4 linked regions of the Drosophila melanogaster genome follow. Changing the gene in region 2 together with the main gene of any one other region gives a genetic interaction. Each region holds a gene or a part of one and is shown on either strand. Other genes may lie near its edges. The genes, in order: mTor, Rheb, raptor and wnd.

Region 1 (4,763 bases), on a different chromosome or scaffold from region 2:
ATGGACGACAATCTTCCAATGGTAACCATTGCCAGCTCCCGGATCTCAAAGATTTCATCGTGCAGCGTAATAAATAGCGAATTTAGAGACTCTGGCTGAGCAAGCTTCCCATCAAAGGTCTCGTCCAGCGAACGTAGAATTCGTATTCGCACATTACAGTCCATATCAGTAATGGCTACCATAAGCAGGCGCTCAATCACGTGGGAAACGGTGTCGCTGAGGGTCTTGGAGTTCTCCATACTTTCAGAGGATTGCACTGCCAGTTTAAGGAGTCGTGTGCATGTTTGCACTGCCTCCAGACGAATCTCCTGCTGCTCGTGAACGATGAAGTAGTCAGCACATCTGAAAAAGAAATCAAACCTTGTAATATAACTAAAATATAGTAAATTAAATTAAATTACCGTTGCACAAAGTCCAGCATGTTTTGCTCCTCAAAGTTGAAGGTACCCAGCGTTTTGAGTGCCAGCACTGTGGTTGCTCCGTCACCATTCTGCATTAGCGAGCCATCGATGGCGATCGTTGGCAAAGCAGTGTATGGTAAAATTGCCGCCTTGTTCATCAGCACCTGGGATAGGATTCCGATCAATCCTTCTGTAATGGCCGACTTAAGCTGCGGCACATTCTCGGAGAGTTCCCTCAGGCAAACAGTCAGAGCTGGCGAGAGACCCGTGTAGAACATCTGCTCAAGGATATCCTTAACATCGTCGGCGATCTCCGACTTAACGGCATGAGCAAGAAGCGTTATGCAGGCAAAGACCGCAGGATCCACTGGTACCTTTCGTTTGCTGGTCAAATCCTTTGACGGCAAGGCGACCTTCACGCTAGTCATTATACTGGATAAATGAACTTCGATCGCACTCTGCACCGCTACAGCCATGTAACCAATGGTTATGTACGCCACCGTGCGATCCTTCTCCTTGCCTCGCAGGATCTGCATTAAATGCGACACGCATGTCTGCAGGTATTTTTCCACAAACACCGCGCGGTTAAAGGCAGCCAATCGAGGAAGTATTTGAAGGAGTGCCTGCTGTACATACGGAGACTTCGAAGTTCGCTGCTCCAAAACATTGTCGCAAATGGAGGTGTAGTGCTCCTGAAGGATCTCCTGAGCATATGCGGACTCCAGTACGTTGTGCTGCTGGATGTCGATATTATTAGTTACTTGCTTAAACATAACTAAATAGTTTGTATTTTAAATTAACAAACATTAAAATATCTTTTTTGTAATGAACAAATGGAAAATATACTATTTTAATACAAACATGCTTGTCTAAATGATTGCCGCCCCACAATTACTACTGGTAACGAATCACACTCTACTGCTACATTTTACACAATTTTTAAACTATAATTAGGTCAGCTGATTTCCTCCCGTCAGGCATCGCTTGGTTTTTAGATACATGTAAAGTACATACTACGTAAACCAAAAGGTAAATAAATGAAAATGACAAATACATTCGTGTGTGGAGGTATTTGATCGTTAGACTCACGCTCGCGAACTTGGCAACTCCTTTGTGATGCTCTCCCTCACCCAAATGCGTTTGGGTGCTGCCGAGCTTGTCAATGAAGGGCACCTTTAGCCGCGGCACTAGAGTATTCAGCTGGGAACCCATACTCGACGAACTGCTGGCCTCCAGGAACTTATTGTGTTGGGTCTTGGGGAACAGCGTCTTCAGAGACGTGTAGCGCCGCTCCCAGGTGGCATTGGCACAGCGAAAGAGCTCGTTGAAGACGACGAGGCCACCGTGAATGCGATCGTCTCGGGTCACGCCTTTCTGATCCTTGCTAGAGCCCAAGTCTGCATTGAAGCTTCCATTCGCCTCGTCATAGCAGATTCTGTACCACTGTGGTTCACTGGACTGCTTGGTGCTCTCTCGCTGAGCGGTGACAATCAAAGCCGCCCTCAAAGCCTCGCCAGCTGACTCTCGTATAGCAGGTTTGGGATCGAAGATGGCGTTAAAGATAACCTCGAAGAAGGTCAGGATGTGCTGGTAGAAGTATGTGGGCAAGGCGATAGCCAGCTCACGGAGGATAAAGACGGCTGAATGGCGGCGGTACTGAAAAAAATAATATATAAATGAATTTGGATAACTCTAGCCATGCTTACAACTACTATTTTCATTTTCATTATAAAGTTTTTCCATCTTCATCTCAAAATCAGACTTAAAAGCTTAATTTGTAGGTTTCCCTTATAATTCACCTCTTGTCTCTCGCCTCTGAGCACCTCAAAAGCCTTCTTAATATCAAAGTCGAAGGAATCGGCGCCCTTGGAGGTGGGCATGTTGGCCAATTTGACCAGGGAGCGGGCGGCAATCTCCATGACGGACACATCGTTGATTAGCAGAAGATCGCGCAGGCGGTTGAGATAGGGCGAAATGCCCTTCCTGGCAGTAAGACTGCCCTCGCAGTTAATCAGGCACTCTGAAAGGGAAGACGTTAAATCCTCTCAAGCACTGCCGGGGAGCCAGGAACTCACTCATGGCCAGGGCACCGCCTTTTTTCTCGTTGATATCTGTCGCATTCACCATCGTGAAAATGTGATGGTCGAACTCGTCGAAAAATTGGGCCAGCTCCTCCTGGGACATTTCGCGTAGCTCGGTCTTCACATAGAAGAGCAGATCCTGGGTTGCCTTGTTCTGTACATTCCGGTTGCGGGACTTAAGCCCGTTGACGAACTGCTGCACCACCGACGTCGTCGACATGGCTGGGCAGGGTTTATTCACTATTTAAACGCGATTTTCACTTGCATTTGGGAGGGGAAAGGGTGGAGCAGGTGCATCTGCCTGCTGTCTACGGACTTTGGAGGTTATCTTTTCAGTTGCCCCGGGGCGCTGTACGCACTGTTCCACTGGTCACTCGATAGGATTTCATGTGCCGGCACCGGTGCCGAACGATCTCACACGGATGCAGGTCCTTTGCTTTCTTTAATTGCGGATTACTTCGGTTTTTACGGAAATTTATTGCAGCCGCTGCCGATTAGTGATGTAAAACAGAATTCGATCAATTTACAATCGATATTTTCTTGCTGATACTTCTGTACTTGGCGGCGACTTATAAGCATTTAAAATGTTAGAGAACATATTAAATAAAAATAATAAAGTAATTAATAAATTTGTTCTTTATTATAAGCAATTAAAAAGAAATTGGCTTAAAGTTGTGGTACAAAACATTTATATTACTGGAGTGAACAAGTTGCATTGAAGAATTTGGAAAATAGCACAAAAATGCAAGCTTATGTTAAATTTTTAATAATTACCAACAAGTATTTCAAGATTTAACTGCGGAATGTGCTAGTGGAATCCGACTATTAATGTATCGTGACGTGCGTGAGTTTGATGTGAGCCCATCTCTATAGAGAACCTGGAGCCCTCGACGATAACCGATAGATCAATACTAGAGTGAAATCAAAAAAGCAAGAGAATTTTCATAAGAGCTGTTGAAACAAATGTGAGCTTATTTAATTTTAGAGCAGCTGAAAAAGCAGTTTTTACGCCACAAAACCACTGACCACAAGGTGTTGAATGAAAAGAAAGTGTGAAAATTGCTTTTGTGATGGGTAAAAGGTGGAAAATTCACCTTGCCGTTGGTGGCATGTGTGAAAATTGTATTGGAAAATCGATGCTGTGCTGCGGGGGTGTGAAGCTTTTCACTGGGGGCTGCTGCTGCACATCAGCGCCACCTATGCGTTTCCTCGCGGAAAACGCTCTCTCATTCGGGGGCATGGAAAATGCGTGTTTTTGTTTATAAGAAAAACGGTTACTTTTTCCCACAGCCAACGAACGATTTGACCGTTACCGAAGCAGAAGAAGAAGAGCAGCAACCGCGACCATGTCCAACTTGAGGAAATTCAAAGACGAGGAGCGCGAGTCGGAATATGGCCGTGTCTACGCGGTATCCGGACCAGGTAAGCGACGTCACCAGCGTCCTTCATGCGCTGACCCCCAAGTTCTGTAATCCTTAATCCTGCCTTTCTTCTGTTCTTAATTATACTCCTCCACATCTTCCTTTTTATCCTTCCTTATTATCCTTCTCCTTTTCATATTTCTGTATGCTTTCTTCCCCCTCCTCCTGTTCCGCATAATCTTCCTCATTATGCTGCTCTCTCCACTCCTTGCTAATCATATTTCTCCTGCTTTTCCTCCTTCAACAACTTTAAATCCACTTCAGTGGTCACCGCTGAGGCCATGTCTGGATCAGCTATGTACGAGTTGGTCCGCGTCGGCTACTACGAGCTGGTGGGCGAGATCATCCGTCTGGAGGGCGACATGGCCACCATCCAGGTGTACGAGGAGACCTCTGGCGTGACTGTCGGCGATCCGGTGCTGCGTACCGGCAAACCTCTTTCCGTGGAACTTGGACCCGGCATTATGGGCAGCATCTTCGACGGCATCCAACGTCCTTTGCGGGACATTGGTGTCATGACCAACTCCATCTATATACCCAAAGGTGTCAACACAACTGCTTTGTCGCGCTCGGAGATGTGGGAATTTAATCCGCTGAATGTGCGGGTGGGATCCCACATCACCGGAGGAGATCTGTATGGAGTGGTACACGAGAACACGCTGGTGAAGCAGCGCATGATTGTGGCACCCAGGGCTAAGGGAACCGTTCGATACATTGCCCCCGCGGGCAACTACAACCTGGAGGACATTGTCCTGGAGACGGAGTTCGACGGCGAGATAACCAAGCACACCATGTTGCAGGTCTGGCCAGTGCGGCAGCCACGTCCCGTCACAGAGAAGCTGCCAGCCAACCATCCGCTC
Region 2 (3,844 bases):
CATACCACTGGTCAGGTGGCCCAGCAGAGAGGGAAGCCAGTACCAGCGACTGTCTGGAAAGGACGACAATGGCAGTCGTGGTCCCCACCATCTCGATGGTGGGGATGCGGTGCGGAGACCTCTGCTCGCTGACAAGGAGGAGTCCAAATGGTACTAAAAGCTTTACGTAATATTATTGTGAGTGTTGCTTTCCCGTTTAAGGTTTTTAAACATATTAGACAATTTCTGATTTAAAAATGTGCTGCTGGTTTACCTCGTAATAGGATGGGTAGGGTTTGTTAATAAAAACTAAGCGCGTCAATTGCTAAACGTAAATTTATTGCTCATCTTTAGCAGCAACATCCAAATCTAATTTGCTACATCAAAGTGACCGAAACTAGCCTAAAGGACACGATATGCACACTCAGATTCAAGTCATGGAATTGAAGGCCTGCAGAAGCACCTGTTTTTCGCGCTCCTTTTTCTTAACTACGTCAAGACTGCGTTGTCGCCACGTGCTCTTGCGCAGTTTGATAGGCCGGCTGCCCACATAGCGGCCGTCCATCTCCTTCATGGCCCGTATAAAGTCGGCCGGTTCTCTGAAGCTCACGAAGCCAAATCCCTTGCTCTTGCCCGTGCGCTTGTCCCGCACCACACGGGCCCGCTGAAACGAGGGGAACTTGTTGAAGGTCCGGGTCAGGACCTCGTCGTTGACGTCGTTTCCCAAGTCACCACAAAAGATGCGGAAGTCATCGTCGGGCCAGTCAGCCAGCGAAGTATCCTCCCACACGGTGCCGCCAGCGATACGCACCGTCTTGCGGTCTTTCTTTTTCCGCTCTGTTGTCTGGAAGGATTGCAGCGCCGATGATGCGCGCGCTGCCTTAATGGCCTCCTCTGCAATGGGATTGGGTCCAGACTTTTCCGCCTTGAGCTTCTTCAGCTTCTGCGTTACGTCAAAAGAGACGGCGTTGATGTCGATGGAGGGCGCGGCGGCCACGGTGGGCACGTGCACAGACTGCCGGCACTGATAAAGTTTGGGGGCGCTGCTCAGGACTACGGGAGTGGCAGACATAGCCTTGGAAGAACCACCTCCACTGCCCGTAGGCACGAAGGTGGACATAAACGTGGGTGGAGGCGGCATCGGGGGCGGGGGTACGGTCAGACGCGATCCTCCATTGCCCTGGTGATGCTGCAGCTTGTGCTGCGAGTTTTGGTACGTATTGGCGGCTATGATCGGGCGCACCTGGTTGGGCACGAAGAGATTGCGGGCGGGGGGCTTCGAGATCTCCGCCTCGAAGCGTGAGAGCTCATCCTCGATGTTGCGACGCTTTGTACCCATTTGAAGTGGGGTTTTCTCTTTTAAAAAATCAAATCAAAGCAAGTTTTTACGAAAGTGCTGCAGAAAACTCGGAGTACTAAACAAATATCGATTTCGTTCCCAATCGATTGCACTATTTTTATTTTAAAGGCCTGTTTAGACATGTCCACAGAATCAGGCTCTATTTGCAATATATAACAAATAAAACAGTTATTTTAATATCATAAAACGAAGACATTTAATATGTTTTAACTATTTAAGAAAATAACTGCGACTTTTTACACTTGATTACGACAAGCACCTTTCCGAACGGGCCTTGATATTTTCTGCAATTGTTGACCGTTAAACTAGTAGACGATAGTGTAGTGTGACGGTTCCTCATTAGCTGGCAAATGCCTTATGTTAGTAGGCTAGGAGTGGTATTTCGGCTTCGTCGACACCAGCACTGATTCAACTTCAGAATTACTGTTTTCTTTTAGACGATCTGATAAATAATACTGGAATTAAAATCGCCGGAAAAGCTCTAGCTGTGATAGAAAGTATCCTCAGCAAGCAAAATAAACGCAGAAGCAATATTCCTCATACACACATTTAAAGAAGGAGCACGGGCATACCCACACAAGCGCACAAAAAGTCGAGGGGCGACAGCAAAAACAAAAGTGTGGAAAATCACAAAACCAATAAATTTCTCCATTTATTTCAAAGCACTGGGCCCCAGGAAAATGCCAACCAAGGAGCGCCACATAGCCATGATGGGCTACCGATCAGTGGGTGAGTTTTCCCAGAAAGTTCCGCCAGAAGCACTGACACTGTTGCTGCTGGCACTGGTAATTGCGTAGTATTTCGACAACAGCAAGAACTATGATCAATTGACCATAATAATTACGCTTCGCCCGCAGGCAAATCGTCGCTATGCATACAGTTCGTGGAGGGCCAGTTCGTGGACTCCTATGACCCCACCATTGAGAACAGTAAGTGTCACATCCCATTCCGTGCGGATTTCTTAGAAGCCAGGCTGACTCCATGCTTCGATAGCAGTAGCAATGCGTAATGATCGGTAATTCCCATTCGCAGCCTTCACCAAGATCGAGCGTGTAAAGTCGCAAGACTACATCGTAAAGCTCATCGACACGGCGGGCCAGGACGAGTACAGCATATTCCCGGTGCAGTACAGCATGGATTACCACGGCTACGTCCTGGTGTACTCGATAACCAGCCAAAAGTCTTTTGAGGTGGTGAAGATCATATACGAAAAACTGCTCGACGTAATGGGCAAGAAATAGTAGGCTTCTTCCCCGTGGGTTCCGCTTGAGAGCTAAGCTAATCTTTTTTGCCTTTCAGTGTACCTGTGGTGTTGGTCGGCAACAAGATCGATCTCCACCAGGAACGAACCGTTTCCACGGAGGAAGGCAAGAAGCTGGCCGAGTCCTGGCGAGCTGCATTTCTCGAAACGTCCGCCAAACAGAACGAGGCAAGTACCAAGACGAATCACACTAGCTGAATGCAACTAAGGTACTTCCTTCGCAGTCCGTGGGAGATATATTCCATCAGCTACTGATCCTCATCGAAAACGAGAACGGCAATCCCCAGGAGAAGAGCGGTTGTCTTGTATCGTAGGGCGGCTGAGTAGCTAAAACTACGGCCGAACTGTTGGAAATACGGCAAATCGCTATGGCAATACGAAAATCGATTATCTCTTATCTACACAGTTGGGTCAGCGTGCATGGCGGGGCCGTACCCTTTGTGCGCAGCAGGAAAATCTAAAAATCTAATAGACCTAGTATTCTTAAGACCACACAGCAAGTAACCAATATCAAGCGATCTGAATGCGTCCGCTAAACGCTGCCCAGCAGGTTTTGTGGTTCGCGTCTGGCGCAACACAACAGGTTTAAGTTAGTACGTTTTTTTTACAACAACAATTCAGTTACAAATTTCATATACAAATTCTGCAAACTTTTAGTTTCAATTTAAATATAATTTTTCAAAATACTATTCAAGATTGTATTTTAATGGTCAACATTTTCGATTGTGAAAAATATAGAGGTTGATTTACTAAAGTTACAAGTGCGTCGAGAAGACCTGCCAGTTGCAATTCCAAAAAGCTGGATTTACTTTATCTCGTCCCTATAACTGATTAAATAGGACCAATACCTTAATGATTTCTATAGATTCCCAACCGTTGTGAATTCTCTGGAGACCAAGGTTCAGCAAGTAAAAGAACTGGGAGGATCTCGGTATGGTTCTTAATAAGAGTAATTTCAAACCAAATTACTATTTGGATAAACTGAAAGACTCACCTGGCCACTCTAGCAATATCTGCATCTGTTAGCAAAAAAAGGGGTCTTTAAATTTTAATACCGCTATTTCTTATGTCACAATTGGTCGGACGAATTTGATTGAATTAAGATTTGGCTGGCTTAATATTTCTAAAGACTGATTATAGAAAAAAGACATAGAAATTATTTCGCATTAAACCGATTATGAATAAAAATATTTCTTGTCTTACTTATCTTAAATCTAAAATGCCGGCTAACAGAGCGTTGCGCG
Region 3 (4,984 bases), on a different chromosome or scaffold from region 2:
TGGTAATGGCAATGATGCGATCGATATTATTGGCCTGTTCCTCGCTACGATCCGTCACGGAGCTAATAAATGTGCCTAAGGCGAAGACGGCAGCGGCTCTCACTTCCGGTATCGAGTCCCGCAGCAGTACGTACAGCTTCTCGTGCGCCAGGTCGCGTGCTCCCGACCAACGCGCCTTCTCAAAGTTCTGCCACAGCATGCCCAGACAGATGGCTAGCCACTGGCGCAGCAGCCAACTTCCGTCGTTCAACTGCTCAAGGCAAATAGACAGTAGGGGACCTTGAAGCGCGCTCGTCTGTCCCAGCAGGAAGTTGTGCACTATGGAGGACAATACAAAGGCGGACAGTGTACGGTGCTCCTTGGAAACGGAGGTGTCCTGCAGCACGGAGAGGAAGTACTTGTATTCCTTGACCAGATCCACCTGGCAGCTGGGATCCACGGCCAGGATCTTGGCCCAAATGAACACCAAAACGGGTCGCAGTTCGCGCGTAGAACTCTGCAGCAGTTTAAGCACGTATGGAAAGATGCCCACGCCCAGGGCGAGATTAACGGCCCACGGACCAAGATCCAGAAAGCGAGCCAGCAGCTCCAAGGCCCTCAGACGGTGCACCTGCGACAGTAGGACCTGCAGCACAATGGGCAGCTGTTCCGGTGGCGTTCTCGACTCCGATTCGCTGTCCAGCCAAACCTGGAAGGCCGTGAGCTGGTGCTCGAAGAATGGCAGCTGGCGGTACGGCGCATTGTGATCGAGAATCTCCGGCAGCTGCTGTAGAGCCAAATCTACCACCAGATCCCAGGCCTTCCACATCGGATGGCGATAACAAGGCGGCAGGGCAGGCAGGGAAACTGGTGTGCAGTCGTGGCTTCGCAGAATGCGCTCGGCCAACAGGAAATTGCGGAACAAGCTGGCCACCAGCAGATCCTGGCGAAACAGGCGCTGAAAGAGCTCGCGAGGAAGTGTGTTCCATGCTATCGTGTCCGTAATGGCGGTGAAGATCCAGTTAAGCTCACCCATCATAGTGCGCCGGTCGTTGACCTTGCCTGCGATAGAATTTAATGGTTAACAGCATTCCCTGGGTGAGTAAAGGTATAACCTTACCTGGAATCTTGTCGATCAGTTCGCTCTGAATACGCGGTACCATGCCCAGCTTTTCTTGCATGGCGTACCACTTGAGCGCTATGTTAATGGGTGTTGTCAGACAGCTGGTGAAAAGATCCGCCGGCAGCTGTGCATTCATCGGAAGAATCTCGTTTGCAGCACAGGCAGCCAGGTGTATACAGTTCTTGTAACTGACCATCTGGTTGGTTAACTGCACCTGGTTGGCGGCTACGTTGGCGGCACCACCAGAGCCGCCCACTAACTGTTGGACACCACCCCTCTGCTGGGCGGCGGCCAGCGCCTTCCCTAGTTCTTCCTCGTGCTGTTTAGCGTATGGCTGAAACGAATTGATGATGATCCCGGCGTTGGAGCAGTCATACACGTAGATGGAGGGCGCTGACATCCAAGTGATAAGCTCGAATATGCTCAGGGGGATGTACTGCGTGAAGGTCTTGTTGAACACCCAGATCTCCCCGTTGGCTGTGGGCTTGGGCACTCCGTGTCCGTTGTAGTGGAAGAGTATGCGCTCCCCCTTGGCGTTCCGGCGTAGGGAGGTGCAGAGCTTCTTAACGTCATCCACGGTGGGATCGTTGCACTTCTTGTACCGGGCCCTTGGCTGCCAGCGTTCGTACTGCATCTGCAGGTTGCTTCCAATGAGTTCCATGGCCTTTGGCGGGGACACCGAGCTGGGATCTATCCAGCACTCTAGCCGTGAGCAGGGTTGGATCTTGACCACGTCCGGCGGATCCACGCCGATGTTGAGGCACAGAACCAGGGCCACACTTGCCGTCTTCATGCGCTCGCGGATGCGCCACGGCTGTCTCTCGTACATCATGGCCTGGATGCGCTCCTTGTGCCTTTTAGTCTGCAGGGAGAGCGGGCACCTGTCGTCGCGGATACGCTCGCCGAAGCATAAGCTCCGAGCGGGCGGCATGCCCAGGATCTGTATTTCCTTCAACCGCAGTTTGATAGAGTCGTCCCGGGGCCATTCCTTTCTGATAGTCCGGATTAGCTCCCTCAAAGAACCGAGGGAGGCCAGTTCCTGGCCGTTGGAGGCCTGAATGTCGGATATTTGCTCGATGTGCTTCACGATTGGTACCAGTGATTGGTCCTGCCTCATGTTGCTAATCACCTTACCCAGGTCGTTCAGAGAGTCGTCCTGAGATGGGTCCCGGCCGATGGCCACCTGGTTCCCCAAGGCGGCGGATCGACAGTGCTCGATGTGCTCCAGTTGCTCCATTATCAAGATTATCGGATCGTCCCACGGGGCGAATACATATTTCTCGTATCTCTTGCGGATTAGGACGCTCAGGACGGCCTCCTTGCTGGAGGCCACCTCTTGATCCGCGACGCTGCCGTTGCTGCTGCCGCTGCTTTCGTCGACTGCGACGCCGACTGCGGCAGCGGCGGACTTAGCGCGAACGGCACTTGTCATGTTCTGCGTGCTTTTTGTTTCTCTCGTTTCTCGCTGTATTGCTTTTTTTCTTTTTCCGTTTGCCGAGGAGAGGGTGCAGCTCAATGCGAGCGATTTCCCGGAGCGATTACGTCTCGGTCGCGGATTCAATCAGCTAAAAATCCCCCCGAGGGGACTCTAGCACATAACCCCAAACACTTTTCGCACTTTCCGCACCTCCACCACCGCCAGCGCCTCCTCAGCTCCGCTCCGCGCTTTTCTGCTTTTCTTTCCACGTTCCTCTTCTCCACGTTTTCCGCCTACGGATCGCGGACCATTTCCCGAAAACGGGTAAAAAGAACTCGGGGAAAACACGCCGCCTGGGCTGATTAGGTCGATGCCGGGACAAAATAAAAACCGTACAACTATAGCGAGCGATCTCCGACGGAAGATGGTGCGCATTAACAGGTTTATTTACTTTCGCTTGGGTTTATTTATTTATGTTTAATCGAATTATATTATACGAAAAGAATTGCGCAGAAAATAGAGCTGGAACAAAAATCGATGATTTTTTCGATTGCACGCTGGCAAGCGGTTTACAACATTGATATCGATAATAAACTAACAGCGAAATGGCCTAGCTGTAATGAATGGCGTTGCCAGATCATTACAAGCTCATTTGTAGCGCGTAATTCAAAAGTTTGTTTTGGTTACATTGACAGAAAAAACTAAAGGACTGCTCACCCGCAAAACAGGATCCTCGTGCAAAGGCGGCGGATATCGTACAGTATGGATGCGATGACGGCCGAACAAACCCGTAGCGAAGCTTTCCGCACTTTTCAGCGTTCTCTGGGTCGCAGTATACTTGAAGTAGTACCACTCCGGATTGTACAACTCCGGAAGTAGATCCGGAAATCGCCGCTGCATCCGTTCCGCCAGCTCAATCAGCTCATCCTCACCCTCGGCCACCAGTAATTTCTCATCTTCAGTGGCATTCAGATGCATCCAGTGCCATTGGCGCAGCTTTTCCAATTCAGCGGTGCAGATCGGCGGCTTCGTCTGATCCAGAATGCGTTTCTTTATCTCTGATAGTCGATTTTGCGCCTGAAGGATAACGGATTCGCTAGGATTTCTAGTTCCGTGTCGGATGATGGTCCAAATTCGCGTCGGATGGCAGCCTTGTCGGGTGAAACGGTTAAAAGAGAAAAATCAGCTGTTCCATTGCCATTTGCTAGCAGTAGGCATCGGTAATAATAAACTAGTAATAGTATAATAACAAATCTAAAGCGATTCTCTGTTTTATGATCAATAAAGAATCCATATGCTTTCATGATTATGAATTCACTGTATTAAGCGAGCGCTGTTAACTGTCACATGGCACAACACATGTTTGTATTTCTAAGCGGGTGCCTACTGTGGGTGCGTTACACAGAAAACAACAAAAATACAAACCGGCGTATTTCGGTGGCGTTTCGTCATAATTTGCGATCGCTCTGTAGGGCGTCTTTGTGGACAGTCTGCCCTCGATATCTGCGCGATTAAGGCGGCGGCACTCCCCCTCTTCAGACAACGTCACGCCCACGAAGAAGTGGAGGAGCAACAAAAACAAGCAGTAAAATTGGCTTAGCATCTTTCCGGGCGGTGGAAAAACTTGTCACGAGATTAGAAACGAGGTTTACCGAAAAACGGGGTTAAAACGTGAAAAACAGAACGAAATGCCAGCTCAAAAGAAATCTAGGAAATAATAAACACGAAAGAAAAACAAATTGACAAGTGTGCTAGTCGCGCAAGGTGGCAAGGCTATCAGCTCAGCTGGCAGCCCTAACACATGGGGCAGCCAAAAAAAACCCGTTTCCACCGCCAGTTGGCGGTATTTTTAAATAGCATCTTCGATGGCATCAGTTGTAAGTGCTTGGTTGATTACTCATTTCAGGAAGCTTTATTAACACTATTTTATAATAAATTTAGTTAGATTTGCAGGTGCCTAAATCAGCGCATTGCCACTCAACAAGTGTTCACTTCGCCCAATCGAGCTTTCTGCCTCAAAAAGCTCTGTTTTAACCGGCCCGGCAAACTAAGCGATTAAAAAATGGTTTAGTCGCACGCCAAACACGCAAAAGGAATAAGCGTTGGCAAGGGAAGCATTTTGAATATCCTGTCCAAGAATAAAACGAGAAACTTACACACAACTTAAAATTGCAATAAATAATTAACACCCCTGAATTCGTTTCGTGTGGTCACTCAGTTTTTGTTCCTAAGAGTTTCGGTTAAAATTTGTGCTTATCGAGGTTCTCCTCGTTGCTTTTTGGCTGCCATATGGCGCCCAAGGAGCCACAATCCGCAAATGTCAATAGTGAAAAAAGGAATAGCTGAAACGCACATGCCAAAAGTTTTGCGCCAAAACTAAAGTTCCAGGTAACCGGTAGCTGGGAGTAGTTGTCCATTTGGGAATTTATGTATGGGAGCAGGAGCCGGAACATTGGAAGTGCCTA
Region 4 (4,843 bases), on a different chromosome or scaffold from region 2:
TGCTATTAATTACAAGAAAAGAGAGACGAACGCGACGCGTAACACTTTCGTTGGCGGTTTTTCAAGACTGTTGCTTATTGGTTGGGTTTGGGGGGGAAAAATGCAATAATTTCACGTATTTCGCACAACTGCGTCACACCAACACACAGACAACGGCTGCAAACTGATTTGGCGATAAGCTCGCTTTTGTTTTTGTTGTCGCACAAACACACGGACGCAAATTAAGGCAGGCTTGCGAATTTCAAGCGCAAAGAGCGACCACCAGAAGCGATTGATTTTCGCCAACTAAATCGCGACTCGCAGCGTGAGCATAACGGTCTAGCTCCACATTATCAGTATCAGTTCGGATGGAGCTCTCTCTCCCGCTCCGCTCTCATCTGCTGTTATCATCCGGCGTTGTTGTTGTCAGACTGACCGCATTCCCCAGCGCCTGTATCGACTGGCCAACCATCTCGAGGTCTCCCCAGGCCAGGCTGCCATCTGGTCACACTTAAAACCAGTTTTCATGGTGGGGAACACATGATCAAATCTCACACACATCCACACAAATACAGATACAGGTGGTCGTGCTGTGGATGTAAGTGTGCGAATAGGAAGTTTTTGGCTGCGCCCCCCTGCAAATTGTATCGCCCAATTTTTTTTACAGTGGATACTGCCTATGAAGACATTTCCGTGTGCTTGTTATCTCTACTCCTGAAAATCGAGTGCTCTCCTTAGTAATATTATAATCAATCACAATTACAAAAAATTATTAAATACTAGTATTTCGCTATTTAAATAATGAAACCCCTTTTATCTGCTTATCTGTTAACACTGTTGTTTTGCAGTGTTTTAGTAGATGTCTGTATGTCTGTCTTCTTTGTTGTCATTATTATGCTCTTTTAATATCTACTGTGATAACTTTTTATTATTTCACAACAAGCTTTTTTGGTTTGCACGTGCTTTCTAATGATTTCTATTTACTTAGTGAGACTAGGAACTAGGAAAATAAAGCTGACGCCTCCTATTTGGGAAATAGAATCCTGTATCTATCGGATAAAGTTGAATTTTTTATTGTTACTCAGTTCAAGATTTTTGTGGCTTTTTAAATTTTTAAACGATCGTTTAACCTGCTAAATACTTTCGAGTATTCAGTTGCTTGCGAATTACATAAAAACTTGTATACAGTGAAGGTCGATTACCCCGCTTAATTAAGCACGATTCGGCGGCATATTCTTGAAATATTAATTAAAATTTCAAGCCGATTTTGTTTCTTTTACTTAAACACGACGAGTTTTTAATGGCTGAAAGTATTTATTTTTTGGGGTTTTTATGCTCGAGGTTGCTTTTTAGTTTTTTTTTTAAGATTTAATCAATTATGTGATTACTCTTTAAATAAAGTTTCTAAATGTCCAACAACTTTTCTATAATCAACTCAAACAAAAATCGTTCTAAAACTTTTAGGTTTTTGTCTTAGCCATCACGACCATAATGTCTAATAATAATAATGCTCACCTCCTTCGCAGATTGTCGGTCTGATCGAGCGACAAGTTGGGGCTGCTGCCGTGGTGTCGCCTCCGTCCGTGTAGCTGTTGTTGTTGCCGGGAGGCGGCGGTGACCAGATCATCGCGACTTTTGCTCAGACTGTCGCTGAACGGTTGCATTGTCCAGGATTGGTGTGGTTTGGGTATGTGTATTGGTGGCTCTATGATCGATCCTTACGACATTCTGGTCAATAAAGCGGTTGCTATATGGAGATACCACGAACATTAGTATTTTTTGGCTGGGGATTTCCTTTTCAGACACACACACGCGCACATTCGTTCGCAACCTCTTATCAATGAATGACGAAAATCAATAAGAAGCAAACGACGTCAAACGGCAAAGGGCAAAAGGATATGCGAGCAGGAGCGGGAGCGAGACAGCAATAGCACCCACGCAAAAAAAGCTATTTAAACACACAAACACGGGAAGAAGAAGGGTCGATTATTGCACTTGCTGCCAATTCACTTTGCATTCCGCTTAAATGTGGTTTTCTTTCACTTTCAAACTGCAGGCTGAGCTATTTTTATGATGCCTTTAAAAGGCGAATTGCACAAAAGAATAGGCGCACACACAAGCTCACATACAGGTATTCTTTTTATTTGTACACAGAAAAAAAAAGTAGATATCAAAAAATGTATTTATATATTGTATCCCATTTTTGTAAGTTAGATGCTTTTCCAATTATTTTTGAGATATAGTACAGAATCTTTTTCTGTTAAAAAAAAAATATAATTCGCCAAATAATATTACTTTATGATTATTTTTTTTCTCATTTGAATAATATCTTTTGCTTTTCAAAAGATAAACATATATTAGAAGAAAAGGCACTTGATATCATTTTTTCCTGTGTACAACTCCACTTCTTGTTGTTCTTTTTTTTTTTAATTTAACTTGGCCAAAGCTAGAACATAACAAAAACAACAAACATAAATGTTCCCACACACACACCAGAGTACATTTCTCGCTATTGCTGTCTCGTTCACACCCACCCAGTAGGGCCCTCCCCTCTTGCTCGCACCAACGACGGAAGCCTTACAGCGCAGCTTTGTGCTGTTGCTGCTTCTTCTTCTTCCTCTGCTGCTGCCTTTTGCTCGCTCGTTCGCTCTTTTGGCCAAGAAAATCAATATAAAAATTCTTGTATTTGCACATTTTTCACACACTTTGCTCACTTTTCCAGCAATTTTCCACTGCGAATCGTAGTGATTGCATTGATTCGTACTTTATTCAGCCATTGGCGAAGAACTTTTATTTGATTTCAGCTTGAAATGGAACAATTAAAGACTGGTTTTCTGCTCTTCTTGGAGTTCCGCTGCGAAACGCGTTTATTCCGACCAACCGTCCGCACCAAAGGTAGATACAAATCGACTAAAAAGCAAAAACTGGCTGCTGGCTCTGCTTTGGCTTTGGCCGAAACCGAGTTCCAATCCGCTCTCTAGCGCTCTCTCTTGCGGATTTCCTCCACCAAAACCAGTTTGGAGCGCAGGTTGTGTTCACTGCGCAAGTGTGCGGGAGAACGCGACTGCGCGGGATGGCCAACCACAAACAGACATCAACTGCCAAGGCACTGGGTCGTTGTTGTTGCTGTCGCCTCTCCGATTATCCCCGTTTTTCTTTTGCTCACCACACTCTACTTGATAGTGCCAATGAAACTGGATCTGGCTTAAAAGTTTAATAAAGCTCTCGTCAGCGACGTGCACGATCGTGTTCAGTGCCTAAAAGCGCTCATGGCAGCTGCTTCTGAGCTTTTAGCAAAATAATGCTTAAAAAGATAATGAAGTCAAAAATAAATAAATTAAATAATTCAAATCAATGAAATTAGATGTACACATTTGTGTGTCGTTGAATATCTAAAACCTCGCTTTTACCACACTCTTTTTCATTTCTATTTTTATTTTCTCTTTCGAATATTAAGTACTAAATTTAAGAATACTATTAGCAACTTTTGGAAACTTTGATCTAAAATTTTGAAAGAACATCTGAAAGTAGAAAAATTTATTATTAGACAGTTTTTTATACTAAATGTGGGTATTAATTTTATTTAAAAGTCAGCTTCTTAATAAATGAAATAAATAACTAGATATGTATGTATGTATATCTATTTAAGGAAAGTCAAAAACTTAGTGATACTCTTAAAAAGAATGTATGTATGTATTTTGATTTTGTTTTATCAATATATGTTATAAAAGCATGAGCTAAGTTACTTAAAGTATGATCTTAATACTTTTTCGCTTTATACACAAACAAACATACATACATATAAAAATTAAACTTTAAATTGTTCTTAAATGCAATTCGCTTGCGTAAACAACCTATCAGCTTATCAGTCTGTACGTCATAAGCTGGGTATGTAGTTAAACTCGGCACGTCATCAAAGAATTGCTATACAAGAGCAGAGCTGTGAAAACGGTGTCTCCGGATTTGTGTCGAATCCCATACCCCTGCTCCTCCGCTTTCGCACAACAGGTAGAGCACGAAAATGAAAATAACATAGTGCAGCAGGTAGCATAATTTCTACATAAACAAAGATGACTCATACCCACAGAGGACTGATCTCTTTGGAGAACATGTTAGTGGGTGGGGGCTTTTCTACATCGTGGAAAATACTTAGCGAATTCAGCGATCAATTGTATATTTACATAGTTAGAATTTCCATAGCATATATTCAGCGATCAATTGTATATTTACATACTTAGAATTTCCATAGCATATAATATTCATAATAAATGTCTCTACTATGAATTGGAAAAGCATTATTCTATACACGAAATATTTCGAAATTAACAACTTATTATTATGTTACGTACATATGTATAAAAATATTACCTTTATCACCCATGATAACAGCATAACGCCATAAGTATATAAGATCTTTTTGTCGCGGTGTATCCTTACCAATCACACAATCCACTTTTCCCTTCTTAGAGCCACCTCCCCCCTTCCACGTTATCAACAAATACCTTTTCTTGTATGTTCTGACCAATAAATTGTTATGCTGCCTGCGTGCGGCTCAGGCGTTTTCTTTTGGTCCATTGCGCATGAGTCATAGGGTTTCACGCATTTGAGGGACACCGAGGGCCAGTATCTCCCAGGGTTCCAGTTCCATGTCCAGGGTGCAGGTTCCATGCCCGTCAATCAGTGCCACTTGCGAGGGGGAGGGGGTATATGATCTCAACACAAGAATTGCCTTTAACAAGTCTAAGTTAAGGGTAGTTGAGGATCATTGAGATAAGGATCTTGTTGGTATTGTTGTGAGAACAATAATAGTGTATCAATGGAAGATTGGAATATCTCTTTCTTTTGTGCTTCAAAATAATGAATC

What was found.
Region 1: of Rheb (region 2) and mTor, changing one suppresses a phenotype caused by changing the other (phenotypic suppression), as found in Drosophila melanogaster (2 studies listed by BioGRID).
Region 3: of Rheb (region 2) and raptor, changing one suppresses a phenotype caused by changing the other (phenotypic suppression), as found in Drosophila melanogaster (one study listed by BioGRID).
Region 4: of Rheb (region 2) and wnd, changing one suppresses a phenotype caused by changing the other (phenotypic suppression), as found in Drosophila melanogaster (one study listed by BioGRID).

What each region holds. Positions count from the first base shown.
Region 1 is NT_033779.5:13,002,725-13,007,487, reverse strand, and holds the start of mTor (mechanistic target of rapamycin), read right to left. Parts: upstream 3,009-4,763; 5' UTR 2,703-3,008; coding exon 2,477-2,702; intron 2,422-2,476; coding exon 2,201-2,421; intron 2,058-2,200; coding exon 1,491-2,057; intron 1,139-1,490; coding exon 402-1,138; intron 343-401; coding exon 1-342. Other genes in the region: Vha68-1 (vacuolar H[+] ATPase 68kD subunit 1), read left to right, coding at 3,829-3,904, 4,168-4,763. UniProt on the Drosophila melanogaster protein: Promotes cell and tissue growth, maintains tissue homeostatis and controls responses to environmental stress and aging. Regulates growth during animal development by coupling growth factor signaling to nutrient availability. Central regulators of autophagy.
Region 2 is NT_033777.3:5,567,204-5,571,047, forward strand, and holds Rheb (Ras homolog enriched in brain), read left to right. Parts: upstream 1-1,717; 5' UTR 1,718-1,836; exon of another isoform or gene 1,837-2,002; 5' UTR 2,003-2,019; coding exon 2,020-2,068; intron 2,069-2,196; coding exon 2,197-2,268; intron 2,269-2,371; coding exon 2,372-2,579; intron 2,580-2,638; coding exon 2,639-2,768; intron 2,769-2,824; coding exon 2,825-2,914; 3' UTR 2,915-3,288; downstream 3,289-3,844. Other genes in the region: CG12746 (uncharacterized protein), read left to right, coding at 1-157; CG2931 (uncharacterized protein), read right to left, coding at 410-1,318. UniProt on the Drosophila melanogaster protein: Binds GTP and exhibits intrinsic GTPase activity. Activates the protein kinase activity of TORC1, and thereby plays a role in the regulation of apoptosis. Stimulates the phosphorylation of S6K through activation of TORC1 signaling.
Region 3 is NC_004354.4:6,087,173-6,092,156, forward strand, and holds the start of raptor (raptor), read right to left. Parts: upstream 3,030-4,984; 5' UTR 2,535-3,029; coding exon 1,100-2,534; intron 1,042-1,099; coding exon 1-1,041. Other genes in the region: Mipp2 (multiple inositol polyphosphate phosphatase 2), read right to left, coding at 3,237-3,670, 3,945-4,122.
Region 4 is NT_037436.4:19,632,738-19,637,580, forward strand, and holds the start of wnd (wallenda), read right to left. Parts: upstream 3,047-4,843; 5' UTR 2,694-3,046; exon of another isoform or gene 2,685-2,693; intron 1,727-2,684; 5' UTR 1,644-1,726; coding exon 1,495-1,643; intron 360-1,494; exon of another isoform or gene 1-359.